Cricetulus griseus: one gene and its partners. The protein of the gene in region 2 interacts with the protein of the main gene of each other region in a biochemical or structural test. Links are inferred from orthologs where the notes say so. Each region holds a gene or a part of one and is shown on either strand. Other genes may lie near its edges.

Evidence for each region.
Region 1: the proteins of Cd2bp2 (region 2) and Cd2 interact in a biophysical measurement, tested with the Homo sapiens proteins (6 studies listed by BioGRID and IntAct, with this or other methods). The link is inferred for Cricetulus griseus from reciprocal best matches to the Homo sapiens genes CD2BP2 and CD2.
Region 3: the proteins of Cd2bp2 (region 2) and pre-mRNA-processing factor 6 form a complex in vitro, tested with the Homo sapiens proteins (2 studies listed by BioGRID and IntAct). The link is inferred for Cricetulus griseus from reciprocal best matches to the Homo sapiens genes CD2BP2 and PRPF6.

What each region holds. Positions count from the first base shown.
Region 1 is NW_023276806.1:55,693,789-55,699,291, reverse strand, and holds the start of Cd2 (T-cell surface antigen CD2), read right to left. Parts: upstream 3,532-5,503; coding exon 3,477-3,531; intron 3,358-3,476; coding exon 3,055-3,357; intron 1-3,054. UniProt on the Homo sapiens protein: CD2 interacts with lymphocyte function-associated antigen CD58 (LFA-3) and CD48/BCM1 to mediate adhesion between T-cells and other cell types. CD2 is implicated in the triggering of T-cells, the cytoplasmic domain is implicated in the signaling function.
Region 2 is NC_048596.1:73,577,962-73,583,212, reverse strand, and holds the start of Cd2bp2 (CD2 antigen cytoplasmic tail-binding protein 2), read right to left. Parts: upstream 3,578-5,251; 5' UTR 3,423-3,577; intron 2,970-3,422; exon of another isoform or gene 2,964-2,969; 5' UTR 2,941-2,963; coding exon 2,863-2,940; intron 2,668-2,862; coding exon 2,532-2,667; intron 2,416-2,531; coding exon 2,258-2,415; intron 2,156-2,257; coding exon 1,720-2,155; intron 1,642-1,719; coding exon 1,535-1,641; intron 1,457-1,534; coding exon 1,346-1,456; 3' UTR 1-1,345. UniProt on the Homo sapiens protein: Involved in pre-mRNA splicing as component of the U5 snRNP complex that is involved in spliceosome assembly.
Region 3 is NC_048599.1:310,063-315,656, forward strand, and holds the start of pre-mRNA-processing factor 6, read right to left. Parts: upstream 3,233-5,594; 5' UTR 3,109-3,232; coding exon 3,038-3,108; intron 1-3,037. Other genes in the region: Samd10 (sterile alpha motif domain-containing protein 10), read left to right, coding at 5,059-5,149. UniProt on the Homo sapiens protein: Involved in pre-mRNA splicing as component of the U4/U6-U5 tri-snRNP complex, one of the building blocks of the spliceosome.

The DNA of each region.
Region 1 (5,503 bases), on a different chromosome or scaffold from region 2:
CAGATTTTTTCTATGCATAAATCCATAATACAATGTTTTAAATTAAAATTGGATTATGTACCTGGTGGCAGGGAATAGTGTTGAGGGCTGAACTCAGGGCCTCAGCATTTAGGCAAGAACTCTACTACTGCACTATGTCCCCAGCCCCTGAATCACATGACTTTGTAACCTGCCTTCTATCTTTTAAGATTGTATCATTACATTCCCTTCTCATAGGCTTCAGTGAATGTACACCTCCACCATCTCTGTAACTGGTGCTCCTAATTAAGCTGCTAAAGAAAACATGCACTAGCATTTTACTGGTGCAAACACAGTGACGAGCAACCTTGTTTGTAGATAGTCTTCCTGTAAATCAGCTTTCTGAAAGGGGCATGAATGGCTGGCTGTTCCTAGATATGGCTTTTTTTATGTTGTTTATTTTGGGTTGTTGTTGTTTTTCAAGACAGGGTTTCTTTGTGTAGCCTTGGCTATCCTGGAACTCACTCTATAGACCAGACTGGACTTGAACTCCCAGAGATCTGCTTGCCCTTGACCTCCAGAGTGTTGGGATTGTCTGCCACTACTGCCTGGCTAGATATGGCTTCTTAATCTTGGCCTTCTAGGATCCTCTCCTTCTCCACAGGTTTCTTGGGGCCCTGCACTGTCCTTTCAGTCAGCTGCCTCATTGGGGAAGGTAGAATCTCGGAGCATAGCGAAACAAGTGGAGGGGGACCCTCAGCACTGAGAAAACAGGTGTGGTATCCTAGGACTCCAGGGCACCTTCATACCCCTGTTGAATATTACAGGCCTCATGAGTAACCCCTAATAGAAAAATCAGAAATTTTCCAAAATCCAAAACTTTCTGAGCCACAGTGCAATACCACAAGTGGGAAATCCCACACCATGACACCATGTTTCCTGCCCGATGCTATTTAAAATACTGTATTAAATTACCTTGAACAGGGCATATGAAGCATAGATATAAGCATAAATGAATGTCATGTTTACATTTGTGTCCTCTCTCCAAGATACAGCACACATATATATGCAAATACTTCAAAATCTTCACAAGGCCCCAAATCCTAAACACTTCTAATCCCAAACACCTTATGTAAGTGATACATAACCTGTGCTGGGTAATCAGGTTCAGAGCCGAGAACAATCTTCCAATTCTGTGTAATATATAATGATGACAGGACCACAAGTTGAGTCAAGATACTGTGTGGCATTGTCATTTGCATGCAATAATGAAGTCACTGTTTTTAGTCTAAGGGTCTGGGTTTCCTTTAGGGGTAAAGAAAATGTTGCCCACGGTGATAACCACATTAACTCCATGACTATGCAGAAAGCTGTTGAACTGTGCATAGTAAAGAGACAAACTGTGTGGTGTGTGAATCATACAGAATCAATGAGTTTATTTGGGAGGGAATGTCGCCCTCCTTGTCAAGGAAGCCCTGGGTTAGCATCCTGACTTTGATCCTGTCAAACAGTAAGAACATGGCCATGTCACTCCCGACTGGGTCTCTGTTTCCTTTTAGATGGACAGAAGCTTGTAATTATAAGTTCTCAAGATTACTAGGTGCTTTAAATAAAACCAGGCTAACAAGCTCCTGACTTCTCAACCCCAAAATAAAGGTGACCGTAGAGCCCCATGGCCTGCAGTCGTGACTCTGGCCATTCTCAGTGCCCATGGCAGGTGGCCTTTCTCATTCTCACCCCATTTCTGGAAAGTTCTCTCTAGACAAGGTTATAGGATTAGGGTCTGGAAGGGAGTCTTGCATAGAGGAGCTGACATTAGGTCCTGAAGAGTGGCTGGTGCTAGGCCTAGGTGCTGAGTACAGGGTGGGAGAGACACCACAGGTAGGATGAGGGGAGTCCTTTCTCCGGTGACATTTCCTGTGTGAAGCTCAGAATGAAGCTCCCTGAATGGCTGGTCTATGCTGTGCAGGCATTCTCAGCTTCCTCTGCAGGTAGAGGGCAGGCTTTCTCATCTCACCTATTATTGCGAGGAGATGTCACTTGTCCTTGGGCTTTCAACTTCAGTGACATTCAATGCTTTTCTCTTCCTTCTCACTCACCCAAGCTTCCTTGATTCCCCACCACCACCACCACCATACCCACAGCCTGCATGTTTGCATCTCTCCTCATCTGCACTCACCCTTTAGACCAAACCAGTGGTTATCAGGGACAACCGTTCACTAGAAGCACTTGGAAGTTATAGATCCCACTCCATGCCAGAGGCCTAGGCATCACTAACTTCTTACAGCTTTCTTGCTGGTTTTTGTTTGTTTGTTTGTTTGTTTGTTTTTCAAGACAGGGTTTCTCTGTGTAGTCCTGGCTGTCCTGGAACTCACTCTGTAGACCAGGCTGGCCTCCAACTCACAGAGATCTGCCTACCTCTGCCTCTCAAACACTGAGTGTGCTCCATCACCAACGAGCTCTTACTGGTTCTTTTGTGCTACTAAGATTAAGACCACCCACCGTCCTCCTTGTCCTCACTTGGAATTACAGTAGAGCTTTCTAGCTAGTCTTCCCACATCCACCCTCAGTGTCCTGCACTCTCTGTACATGCAGGCACGAAGCCTCACGGTTTAGTTCAAGTCCCAGCAAAATCACTGTCCATCTTCACTGTGATGATGTTGAAGAAACTAAAAAGAAAGAATTGGTCCTTCGCTCAGGATCTCCAGGCCTTTCCTGCCCTTTCACTCCTTCAGAGCACTCTGGCTTGATCTTGGTTCTCCAGACAAGAGACACACGGCTCCCTGGGCACCTTCTGCTTTCTGACACCCTGTCTTGCTACTCCTTTATCAGCCACCAAGGATGTCTTCCTTTTTTCTCTGCTAGCCTGTCCTCTTTCTGACTAATGCCAACTCTAACCTGGGATTCTTGGCGTAGCCCCACAGCCACCCCAAAGAGAGAATGAAAGCTAGATAGGCTTGAGAACACCCCACCCACTGGAGTGTACATTGTGGGCCACAGAGGAGATGTTGAATAGGAATGTTACAAAAACACTGCATCCCAACTCGCTACATCGCACTGGAAGTAAAGGAAAAACTTCATAGAGGGAAGACTCACCTAGAATCCTCAAGTCGAATGCTTTTTGCAGCTTACTACTGCCATTTGCACCATACACTATCACATTATAGGTGCCGTTGTCGTCTCTCTTCAGTTTTTTTATTCGCAAGGTTTCATTCGTCAAGATCTCAAATGCTTCCGATAGCAGAAAAGGTTTCATCTCTTTTTTTAACTGTGCGACCAGCGTTCTCCCCTTTTCCCATCGGACTTCATCAGTATCAGTCACTTGAAAGTTAGGGATGGTCAAGTTGATATCATGACCCAAGGCACCCCAAATAATACTACTGTCTCCGGAGACCGTCCCTGTAAAAAGCAAAATGGTTGCTGAGGTCTTGGAACTACCAAGGATCTCCCTCTTTGACTCTCACACTCATTCCAGGGTCTCCAGAATAACTCCAGAGAAGTTCCACACGCCGGCTTACCTTTGTTGGAAATGCTGAAAAGCAGAAGGAAGCCAGCTAGAAATTCACATCTCATCTTTAGACTCTGTTTCACAGTGGTGATTCTGAGTGCTTCTTTCTAACGTGATGGCAGTAAGACTGGCAGAAGCCACACCCAGCAACCTGAACCACGTGTCTCTCAGGCTTGCTGTTCACCGTAGGGAAGAAAACACTCACAGTCCCTCAGCCCCATAGGAGGCCCTCCTTTGCCAAAACAGGTGTTCTGTGATCCTGTGTGTCGGCGTCACATTTTAATCTTTACGAAACTGTTGAGGCTGGTGGTTTCGGCACCCCATTGAAGAGAAGAGCTGAGAGGTCAGTCACCCCATTTGTAACAAGGGCTCAAACTCACTCAGACTCACTGTCCACTCAGCGGTGCTGCCTCCAACCGGACCCCGTAGACTCACTGGTAAATGTTTGTAAGAAAATGGGATTCAACTATGTATCCTATGGGGAGAGATGCTAGAAAATGTGTGCACGTGAAATGATAAAAATGGATTTTCCCTCTTCCTTGAAAATATTTTTAATATTCTAAAATTGTTCATGTAGGGGCCTGGAAAGATGGCTGGGCAGTTAAGAGCACTGGCTGCTCTTCCAGAGGACCCAGATGCCATTTCCAGCACCCACGTGGCGCCTCATAACTATCTGTAACTCTAGTTCCAGGAGACCCAACAACCCTCTTCTGGCCTCTGTGGTCACTGCACGCAGGTGTTGTGCACAAATATATGTAAACAAGCACTCGCACAAATAAAATAAAAATAAATAAATATTGGGAGGCTGGAAAAATGGCTCAGTGATTAAAGAACAATTGTAGAAAACCTGAGTTTTGTCCCTTACACCTACAAGACAGCTTACAAACCTTGGTAACTCCAGTTCCAGGGGGTCTGATGCCCTCCTCTGGCCTCCACAGGCACCAAGCATGCAAGTGACACACAGACATACATGCAGGCAAAACACTCAAACACATAAAACAAGTATAAAGAAATCTAAAATTTTTTTAATTGTTTATGTTATAAAAAGAAGCCAATCTTCTCCACTATAAAGGCTGTCAACCCACCCATCTCATATTTAGCATACATTTCATGACTCTCTTGGAATTATAACTATGTAAAGAAAAACTGGTTCCAAAACAAATTTTTTAAAAACAAACTATAAAATAATATTTATTTTATTTATGTGTTAGGGTATTTTGCCTGCATGTATGTATGTACACCATATGTACTGTGTTGATTTGAATTAAAATAGCCCCAATAGGTTCTTGTATTTGAATGCTTGGTCATCCTCTGGGAAGAAACTATTTGGAAAGGATTGGGAGGTGTGGACTTGTTGGAGGTTCGTTACACTGGGTATGGACTCAAAGGTCTTAAAAGCCCATGCTGTTCTGTTAGCTCTCTCTGTCTCTTGCTGTGGATAGGAATCTCAGCTCTCAGCTACTGCTCCAGCACTATGCCTTCCTGCCTGCTGCCATGCTCCCTGCTATGATGGCCATGGATACTAACTCTCTGGAACTTTAAGACCCCAACAAATGGTGCTTTGTCATAGCTGTTAAAAACTAAGAATGCATGTACTGCCTGAAGAGGCCAGAAGAGGGCGTAGGATCTCTTGGGACAGAAGTTATAGATGGTTGTGAGCTGCCATGTGGGTGCTGGGAATGGAACTCAGGTCCCCTGTAAGAGCAGCCAGTGCTCTTAACCACTGAGCCATCTCTCTTATCCTAAGACTATGAAATAATAGTGAACAACCAAATTGACAACTATAGATGGTCTAAGACATGGAATGACCAGGACAAACAGAACTGGGGGAGAGAAAGAAAAGGTTTGTGTTCAGGAGAAGGGTCAGTGATGCAGATACCAGTGTCCCTGGAAAAAAGACACTCAGGAAGGTCATATGGGCAAGTGATACTATGAATGTCCTGTCTTTTGGGTTTTTTTTAAGATTTTATTTATTTATTATGTATACAGTCTTCTGCCTGCATGCCAGCAGAGGGCACCAGATCTCATTCAAGGGGG
Region 2 (5,251 bases):
AATATTCATAGGGTCTGGGGTTCAGGGACTGATATTCTGCCCCCTCCTGGATGTCCTCAGTAAGGTACACTCAGAAAGTGTGTGTGGGGGGGGGGATCAGCTCTAGATGGGTCAAATCTGAGGAACCCAAAGAACACCTCGGGGAAGTCCTCCGTGTCTGTCTCACCAAACATTGTGAACACTCACCCAGGCTACGGACATGACTGGATTTCACTCATCTCTAGACACCAACTTTTCACTTCTAAGTATTTCTGAAAGCAAGTCCATCCAATACCACCTTACAACTAACATTAAGTAAATGTCTTACCACTAAAAGGCTTCTCAAAGTCAAAGAAACTGTGGTCTCGGCTGGCAATAAACTGGGTTGAAGGTGTCTGATCAAACACCCCCAACCAAGCCAGGGCCCCTATGTAAGTTCCTAGCCTGGCACAGGGTACCCGTCATGTGCAGGTGGCATGGGCGCAGGGCAGCACTGGTACGAGTGAGGCACTGCTTTTACGTGTCTGTCTGCCACTGCACTTGGGGCTCCTGGAAGACCAGTCCAGCAATGTTCCCTCAAGGCACCATCCCTATGCCAGAGATGTGGGAGCCTGGGAAATGTTAAGCTGCAGGGCCTGAATGGCCAAGGAAGAAAAGGCTTTATGCCAAGAAAGGTCAGGGGAAGCAGCTCACTGGTTCTGGGCCAGCTCTCTAATTTACTGTGTGACCTCCAGGAAGTCACTGCCCATCTCTGTGCCTGTATAATGCATGGTGGCCCAAGTAGCTTTGAAGAGCTACTAAGTTCATGCTTCACCTAAGAGCTATGGGAGCTACTGCAAGGGAAGGAAAAATCAGACTAGGGAGAAGAGGAGAACCCATGTTTAAGAGGCCTCCTGAGTGTTCTCAATAGGATCTCAAACTTTTCCAAATGTCCCAGCTGCAAAGGGGTTACTAGGCCAGAGAATCTGAGGTCCTAAAAGCTGAAGATCAGCAAAACAAGGACTTGCAGGGGAGATAGGAGAATAGAGTGATTGAAGGGAATTTGACATGGCAAGTCACAGGACACCTGACGGGCCCTACTACTGCCACCAAGGGCGGAAAACAAACCGAGGTGGTCCAAGACACCAGAGAGAAGCATCTAAGGAAGGAGGAGACACTCAAGGGCCAGGTAAGCCAACAGGAGCTACGGAGGAGCCCTGGCTTCTGGCTACCAGCACATCAAGGCCCTGATGCACACTCAAGGCTTTTATTGGGAAAGGGAAAGTGGCTGAAGAGTAGCTTCCAAGATCCTCACTGCCCAGGGCAGCTGGGGCCTCCTCTGCCAAGTCCAAGAAAAAGGGGCTACCACACTGGGCCCTTAGCAGGTTCACGTGTAGAGATCAAAATCAATGCGCTTGGAATTGTAGAACTGACCACCTGGAGGGTCCAGCTTCCGGCAATAAACACCATCCGGGAAGTAGCCTTCAGTCACCCAGGTCTGTAAGAAGAGAGGACAAAACTTAGGAAAGATGACAGAAGTCGGGATGGACAGACAAGACAGGAGGAAGCCACTGACCTGCATCTGGGCACTGGTGAATGGTCCATACAGCTCAGCATCCCCCGTGTTCTCCCACTTATATTCCCACATCACATCCATTAGACCATCTCCCGCTGACTCTGCTTCTAAGACAACAAAGACGTATCGGCCTTAAGTGCCCAGTCTCCCACTGGCATTGCCTCTCCTGTGTCCTAAAAGCTTACCTCCTTTATGCGCAGGGGTCGGGGTTTCCAGTTCTCCCTCTGTCACTTCGTCAGCAAACATGTCCAGGGAGGGTGGAGGTGTGGGGTCATGGGATCCCTGAGTCCGACACCCCAAACCCTTCAGACACATAGCCAATCGTTCCCTTGTTTCCTGGTATACACCAAGGTTGCCTCGAGCCACCATTTGATCAGCCAACCCAGAGAGCCGGTCTAGGCGCTGTGGGGAATTGGGCCGTCCAGTCCCCTTGCTGTCCCCTTTGCCTCCTCCTCGGGCCCCCAAACGCCTAAGTGCCCCAGCCACTGTCTCTCTTGGCAACAGCAGCTCCAAAAGTCCCTCCAGGAGGGCTTGGGCACTCATCGGAGTCTGACCCAGGCTGTCTTCCTCCTCTGAGTCTGAAACCTGGTGCTTATCAGGTGGCCGCTCCTTGATCTTCACCTATAAGGGAAAGATAATTATTATTTCCTACAAACTTCCACCAGGGCCCAGGCCCAGCACCTGCATTCCCAGGCCTCAGCCAGGACAGCTCCTGGGCCACACCCAGTCAATGTTGTCCAGCCAGCTGTCTCGGATCTGTGCATCCTGGTTCAGGAAGTAGTTGCCATCAGCATCAAAGTGGCCTTCCTCCATCTCTTCCTGCAGGTTGAAGGGTGTGATCCTCACACCCCCCTCACTAGGGAGAGTAGCTGCTTCCTGACCTGCACCAAAGACATGGGGGCCCCATGCTAGGCATGCAAAAAAGAGACAGGCACACTTCCCACCTCCATAATCAGACTTGCCCTCCAACACAGCTAATGTTTTGGGAATAACTCACCTTCTACATCCTCTGAGGCCAGGATATCATACTTGCTGGACCCTTCATCATCATCATCCTCCTCATCACTGTCTAAAGAGTGTTTGCCTTTGAAGCGGCTCCCAGGACCCCCTGCTCCAGCCACAGGGTCCACCAGCTGTGAGTAGAAACCAGCAAATGAGAAAGGCAACCTACTGGCGAGCTTCCCAAATATTCCAGGATCTGTATCCAAACTGAAAACCTACCAAACCCAGCGCACCGGGGCAAACTAACCCTTTCTTTCGCTTCTCAGCTTTCCTTCCTTTTATTTCTCCTCAGTCCTCCACAGACATTAGGAGTCTGACCATCTCACCTTCTTTTTGGGGACACTGATTTCATCTTCATCATCCTCATCTCCCACACCTTGAAAAGTCACTTTCCTCTTTGGCATGACTGGCAGAACACTTCCTCCAGCTGGACCTCGGAAAAGGATACGGAGTAAGAAAATTAGGTAAGGAGAGCCGGCCGCGAGAGCGCTGTGGCACCACATTTTCCTTGGTAAGCGCCAGGTCCCGTTTGAGCGAGGAAGGGTCACTGAACCATCTCAAGCGCTAGCAGGCGGGTCGTCGGGAATTGGTTTGGCAATTCATTCAGAGGCCCTGACGGGCGGATCTCCGCCCCCGCGCGGACCCTGTGCGTACTCCCACGCAGGAAAAAAAGCCAGGCTCCCCTACGTCACCACTCCCCTACCAGTGCGGAGCTACAGGGCTCCCCCAGCTCCCACCCGAGTGCCCACAGAGGCCGGTCGGACCCAAGAGCTGGCGCCCTGGTTGCTTAGGACCCCCAGTTCCACGCAGCGAGCTGCTAGACCATGTCAGAGTCGGCGCACAAATTAGAGAGGAAGCAAATTCGCAGGGATTCGAACAGTCTTACCGGCTGGCGCTCACCGAGGAGCCCGGGGTCAGGCGGGGAAAGAAAGGAAAGATGCTTTCGCCAGTATTACATCCGGGGCACTCGCCTCCATAACCCGGAAGGAGACTGTGGAGACCTCCATAAGGCCGGAAGCTGCTTCACTCCCATCCAAAAGACTGTCGGAACGGGCGGATGTGTACATTTGGTCAAGACAGTCTCCGCAGGAAGTGACGTAAGACCCCAAAAGACTCGCGTGAACTCCTATACCAGCCCCAGCCTTACTTAGCTTGAGGATGGCGGCAAGTGTTTGTTATTCCTCTGAAATGGAGACTCAGGTGAGGACGTGACGCTCTGTCTGCTTAAAGAGGTGCTGAAGGCCGGGCGGTGGTGGCGCACGCCTTTAATCCCAGCACTCGGGAGACAGAGGCAGGCAGATCTCTGTGAGTTCGAAACCAGCCTGGTCTACAGAGCTAGTTCCAGGACAGCCTCCAAAGTCACAAAGAGAAACCTTGCCTCAAAAACCAAAAAAAAAAAGAGGTTCCCAAGTCCTGGATGGAGGGACAAAGGCCGAGCAGAAGCTGTGGGCTCCAGTCTGACTCTCTATATAGGGCTCTTTGCGCCCAACGGAATTCAATAGAAACCCTGCTTTCCAAGCTTGACACAGTCCCAGCGCTCGGGAAATAAGCAGGACTGATTGTCGCGAGATTGAGGCCAATCGGGGATACAACGTGAGATGTCTCTTTAAAAAAAAAAAAAAAAATTCTTGCTTTTCCTGAGTCCTGTTTCTGGCTGTCAATACTTAGGCACTTTCCAAATCTAGCTCCTTTTAGGACCCAGCCCCATGTCTGTTCCCATTCAATTCCTTCTTTCTGCAGGGGAACTATAACAGGAAGTAGCATTGGCATCCGAGCAGTACCCAGCCAGAAGCCCATAATGCCCTACTCTGGGGTACATCCAGTTGCAAGGTGAAGTCTACCCCACCCCTCAGCAAAATGCTAAGGTGATGGAATCCCGCTCCTGCAGAGGTGGAGCCAGGTGAGATCTTCCTGTCTAGTGAAGTCTAGATCTGGAGCTCTTGAGAACAACTCAAAGCCAGAACACCTCCCCCCCAGGCTAGATAGCTCAGGTGATCCTGCAAGAGCTGGATGAGGGCGGCCAGATGGACCACACCTTTCTCTTGCAGGATTTTCTCCATTCTGAATCACCATGAAACTTGGAATTGTGTCCTCAGTTTCTTCCACGGGCACAGAACACAGGTCCTAGCCCAGGAGGGCATCTTGCTACAGAATGCCTGAAACACCAGCTCTGGGCACTATGGTGCATCCCAGAGGGAACTTCCTCTTCTACCTGGAGACCACACACCCCTGAGCCTCATCCTGCTGAACTGCCATGAGGAGCTCCACCTTAGGACCACAAACCCCATGCCTTTACTATCCTGATCCCTGGGGAGAAAGCAAGGGGGAGGGCTGGGGGGCTACAAGCTAGCCATAGAAAACAAGAACTGGATGATTGATTGTGTGCACCTGCTGAGATGAACTGAAGGCAGCCAGTCCACCCTAGAAGCCCAGTACCAGGAACTGCACCAAGCTGCTGACCAAGTAGCTCAATCTGAAGACTGGCTTTACAGCCCTGCTTAGCCTCCCTTTAGCTTCTAGGAGTACACAAGCAAGTTGGAATGTTCTCAGTACTCTGAGCTGTGCAGAGGGTCCCAGGAGGCCCCAAGCAAAGCTGCAGCAGGAGCTGGACCACTATGCTTGTTGATGAGAGATGTAGCAAGGGTCTGGATATACCTGCCAAGATCAGCAGACTGCACCTATTGGGACTTAAGACTTTCTTCCTGCCCCCTTCCC
Region 3 (5,594 bases), on a different chromosome or scaffold from region 2:
TGCTAAGGTCCCCATAGCCTCCAGCTCCATTCTTTTTGCAGCAAATCCCACTATGCTAAGGTCCCCATAGCCTCCAGCTCCATTCTTTTTGCAGCAAATCCCACTATGCTAAGGTCCCCATAGCCTCCAGCTCCATTCTTTTTTTTTTTTTTTTTTAAATTTTATTTTATTTTATTAGTTCTAGTTAGGGAACAAGCTTATTTCAAGTCCCTTCTCCCTCTCCCTCCCCTCACCCCCAAACTTTCTCCCCCACCCCCAGCCCATCCCCCCAACCCCATCCACCCACTACTCCCCAGGCAGGGTAGGGCCCTCAACGGGAGCTCAGCAAAGTCCACCAAGTCTTCCTATGCTGATCCTGGGCCCTTCCCCATGTGTCCAGGGCCAGAGTGTAACCCTTCATATGGGATGGGCTCTCAAAGTCCCTTCTTGCACCAGGGAAAAATACTAATCCACTACCAGAGGCTCCCTGGCAGCTCCATTCTTTTTGCAGCAAATCCCACCATTCTGGATTCCTTTCTTTTCTGGCCTCACTGGGACTGAACTTTTTCTTTTATATGCAATTTTACTAAGTTAAAGTTAAAACCTTCCTTTTTGATTAGCCAGATAGGGAGATATACTATAGAATGCTTCTATACACTGTAAATATATATTGTTCCCATTGGTTAATAATAAAAGCTGACCACTAGCCTGGCAGAATAGGGTTAGGTAGAACAATCAAACAGAGGAGGGGCAGAGTCCAGGGAGACATGAGCCAGCTGCCCAAGAAACAACAGCAAACCAGTAAAAGCCAGGGCTACCTATTCTTTTTTTTTTTTTTTTTCCTTTTTTTTCTTTTTTTCGGTTTTTCAAGACAGGATTTCTCTGTGGCTTTGGAGGCTGTCCTGGAACTTGCTTTTGTAGACCAGGCTGGTCTCAAACTCACAGAGATCCACCTGCCTCTGCCTCCAGAGTCCTGGGATTAAAGGCATGGACCACCACCGCCCGGCTTAAATATTATCTCTCGTGGGTACTGGGAATCGAACCCAAGTCCTCTGGGAAGAGCAGCCAGTGCTCCTAAATATTGAGCCATCTCCAGCAGCTACCCATTCTATATGGAGAGATATCTTGCCCAGCCTAGGCACAGGGGTGTGGGGGTAGAGAGGTGCCTGCCTCAAGGAGATGAGACAGACTTAGTATACTTCCTAGGGGAGGCCTTACCCTCTCTGAGGAGCAGATGAGAGGTGGGGGGGGAGGGGTAGTAGGGTAGTGGGGTAGTGGGAAGAGAAAAGGAGGGGGAACTGGGGTTGGAATGTAAAAAATAAATTAATAAAAAATAAAGAAATAGCCGGGTGTTGGTGGTGCATGCCTTTAGTCCCAGCACTCGGGAGGCAGAGGCAGGTGGATCTCTGTGAGTTCGAGACCAGCCTGGTCTATAAGAGATAGTTCAAGGACAGGCTCCAAAGCCACAGAGAAACCCTATCTCGGAAAAACAAAAAACAAAACAGAAAGAAAGAAAGAAAGAAAGAAAGAAAGAAAGAAAGAAAGAAAGAAAGAAGACAGGGCTACATGGCAACACAGAGTAATAGAAACATGTTAATTTAAATGTAAGCGCTAGTTAGTAATAAGCCTGAACTATATATAGGTCAAATTATATCATTATACAACTATATAATTATAGTTGTAATTAATAAAACTTTCTGTGTGATTATTTGGAACTGTGCAGCCGGGACATGAAAGCTCCACCTCCGTTTACGAAACTCAAGTTCTCCACAAAAACAGTCAGTGCTCCTAACTGCTGAGCCATCTCTCTATTCCCATTGTCTTTTTTAAAGAGGTTGGGCAAGGTGCTGGAATCAAACCCAGGCCTGGGCATGGTACAGTTGGCTACACCTCCAGCTGCCTTTTAAAACTGCCTGTTTTTTTATTTATTTAGTGTGTGTGACCTGGTACATGTATAGAGGTCAGAAGACAATAATCTATTCTCCCCTTCTATCACGTGGATTCTGGGGATCAAACTCAGGCTTGACAGAGCCTTACCTACTGAGTCACCTCAACAGCCCACTACTTGCCTTTTTATGTGTCTACACCAAATTCCTCTTTTTGTTCGCTTTTTGAGACAGTTTCTGTCTTAAAACTTGATCTGTAGACCAAGTTGGCTTCTGGATCCCTAGTGCTGGAACTACCTGGCATAAATTCCACTTTTCTTTGCTTTTCCCAATCTGACACTTCAAATCCTCTTTGTAAATCTGACTAAAATGCTACACTCTTAAAACTTCTGTTCTCCTGTGTGTGCTTATATACACAAACACCAAACCTTGAATTCTAGTGAATTCAAGTCAATTCTAAATACTATTAACAGGAGAGACTTATGTCTCATCTAATGCATAAATAAGTAGGAAAAATACTATTCATTTACCCAACACCTTATGGTTGGCAGGCATAGGCCATTGCTGTCCAAAGGTGACCTATGGCCACACACCCTAGAGGGAAAAGATGCTTAAGGGAATAAAGGAGTAGCACACTCCTACTATACACATCAGACTCAACTGCTCCTTACAGCCGACTTGCTTGTGCATATTACTTCAGACACCAAAACAATGAGGCTCACACGCCTGCGTAATCCCTGAGGTCAGATTCACATCTCAGGGTGGCAGTCGGGCTTATTCTAACAAAAAAGGCCACCATGTCTGTCAAGCATTGTGTCAAATTACCTAGTGCCTCTCAGAATATATGGCGGTGAACGTTATTCTTGTTTTTGAGACAAGATTTCTTTAAGTAAACCTGGATGTCTTGGAATTCGCTACGCCGATCAGGCTTGTCTCCCCCCCAACCACCCCCACCGCGCCCCGCCTCAATGCTGGGATTAGAGACCTTCACCACCACACTCAGACCCTCAGGCACTTGTTTTTTGTTTTTTGTTTTGTTTTGTTGGTTTGTTTTGAGATGAGGTCTCTCTCTACTTAGTGGTCACAAGTATCATTCTCAACTAGGCCTGGAGCAAGTAGTGTTCCAGAGCACTAGCCACCCTTCCTGGTATAAGTTCCGCCCACTGCCTTACCCCCGGCCCAGCCCGGGTACATAGCCAAGCGGCGCGGGCATGCCCAGGAACGGCTTCTTCTTCTTGTTCATGGCGGTGTTTTTGGCCGAGGCAGAGAAAGATAGAGGAGCAGGTAGGCGGCCGAAGAATACTCGCGGTGTCGCAGCTGGAAGAGAGGCGGCTACTGCGTCGCCGGCGCCCCGGAAGTAGAGAGTGAGGTCGCGCAAAACTCCGCCCACACAGAGCCTCTGACGGAAGTCAAAGATGTGAGTTTGCAAAGCGTTTCCGGTCGGGGCTGCTGGGTGGGTTTGCTGTGGGAAGCTGAGCACGCGTGCGCGGAAGCCACTAACCATTAACGCAGCGGGCCGCGCAGGCAGATGTAAGGGTCATGCGTTCTGTTGCTGTGCCAGGGACGATGCACAGCCTGAGCCCAGTAGGCTTGTTGAGGAGCGTCCCGGTGCTGGCATGGCCTCGAATCTGCCTAGCCTTAGGAAGACGGATTCAGCCTACATGACCAAGACTTGCCTAGCTGTACTGTGTGGCCACCGCCCGTCGATACTGCGTGCACTCCGCAACTACTGCTCTGTGCGCTCAGCGTTCAGAACTGCGACACCCCCCCCTCCTGCTCCGTCCCACCCCCGTGGGCCTTCAGAGAATAAGTGCATGGGCCGGAGTTACATGCTTGGGAGTGATTGTGTGCCCAGGGGCTTTAGTGGACGCGCACCACAGTAACTCTACACAGATATTTTCTGCCTGTGTGCAGCTCTACGCAAGACAATGCCAATCCCACCTGTTGGGTAATAAATAGATTCAGGTCATGAGTCAGGCTGTACTGGGCAATAGCCCAAAGGTATAAAGGATTGCTTAGCCACAGGGATGATGGGCTCTACCTGCAGAAACAATATACTAGGGAAAACAACCCTGCCTCCGGTTAAATCACAAAAATAGCTGTACCTTCCCGGTAGCTATTAAGTATATATGTATGTGTGTGTCCAAATCCCTCTACATGTGCTCCCCTTTCATCCAGTGGAAAGATCAGGGCCCCTCTGTTTCAATAAAGCAGTCTCAACCTGGGGAGAGCATCAGACTCTAGGGCAGACAGGAAAAACTGCAAATTGCTATGCTGGACCAGGCAACCAGACTTCTACGTCCAGTGCTTTTCAGTGGAGTACTGAAGCAAACAACCATTCTTGGCTCCTCAAACAAGCTTTTAGGGAGGAACAGGATTGATTGAGTCTATGAACACTGAACCCTTAGGAACAGAGTCTGATTCAGGAGTTCAACAGAGAGGCATAGTACTGCCTGGAGTTCAAAGTGACCCGCAGGCAAATGTCAGCTAGCGTCTCTGGAAAATGGTCTGAGAAAAGAGAATGCTCCAGTAAAGAACGAGCAAGTGGGGATGAAGATATAGCTTGGTGATTAAAAGAAGTTTTCATATTTTTGCAGAGGACACGGGTTCACCCACATGACAGCTCACAGACCATAAACCCCAGGGCTGGGGGATCCGATTTCCGCACCAGGTACATGCGTGGTGCACAGACATATACATTCGGGCAAAACATTCATGAAATTTAAAAGGGGATGAATAAGTTAGGATACACGGGTATTTGGGAGAGATTGATCTAGCCTTTAGCTGGACAGCGTAAGTAAAAGGTCACAGGTGTGATTAGGGCCCCCACTACTACCACACCGAGGGGACCGAAAGTTCCTCTCTTGCCAACTGCAAAGCTCCTCCAGCACATTGCAGGAGAGGCTGGTCCGCAGAGCCGTACCCAGGTGCGCAAGGACGCCTTTTGCCCTGGCGGACACCCTCAGCATACGCAGCCCGCGCGCCGCCGATACACCTCCGAGCTCCCGGAGCGCGCCTTGCGCCCAGGGCTGGGCGGCAGGTGCTTTGCCGCGCAGACTCCCGGGCCGCGGGGACCGGCTTGGGCTCGGCGGACTCGGGCGGGTGGGGACGCGGTGCGCGTTGCCCATCGGCCGTACTGGCCGCCTGGTACTCCGCGAGGGGCGTGTACCCGAGCCACGCACTGGCGGACTCCATGTTCACCGAGCTGAGGTCAAAGCTGAGCCCCCCGCGAGCTCGCGCCGGGGCTGTGCGTACAGGCTTCGGGGAGCGCCCGGATGTGGACGGTGAGGTGGGATGGACCCTGGAGCAGGAATAACGTGGGCGGTGGGGTGGGAGCAGGACTGGTACTGGGCCCAAGGAGAGCACTGAAGCTGGACTCAGAGGGTTTCCGGGGGCGGCCACCGCGGGGAAGTCTTTGTCCAGAATTACGGGGCAGGAGGGTTGGCAGGAGGGCGGCAGTCAATCTCAGGCCTTGGCTTGGAGTGGGGATGACTGTCAGGAGCTTCTTCACCAAGCTGACACCACACTCTGATCACCCTTTACTTCACACAGAGAAAACCCTCCCCAAACCCTAACGTTGGGGCCAAGGCATATAATTCTGGGAAAGACAAACCTTGGCCCAGTGCAGGGAGCAGATAGGCGGGGCCTGGGCAGCCCTGGCAGGTGCGGCTGGCTATAGCTAAGACGTTAGACTGGTTTCCCTTATGAGGTGGGTGCTTTCTAGCCCTA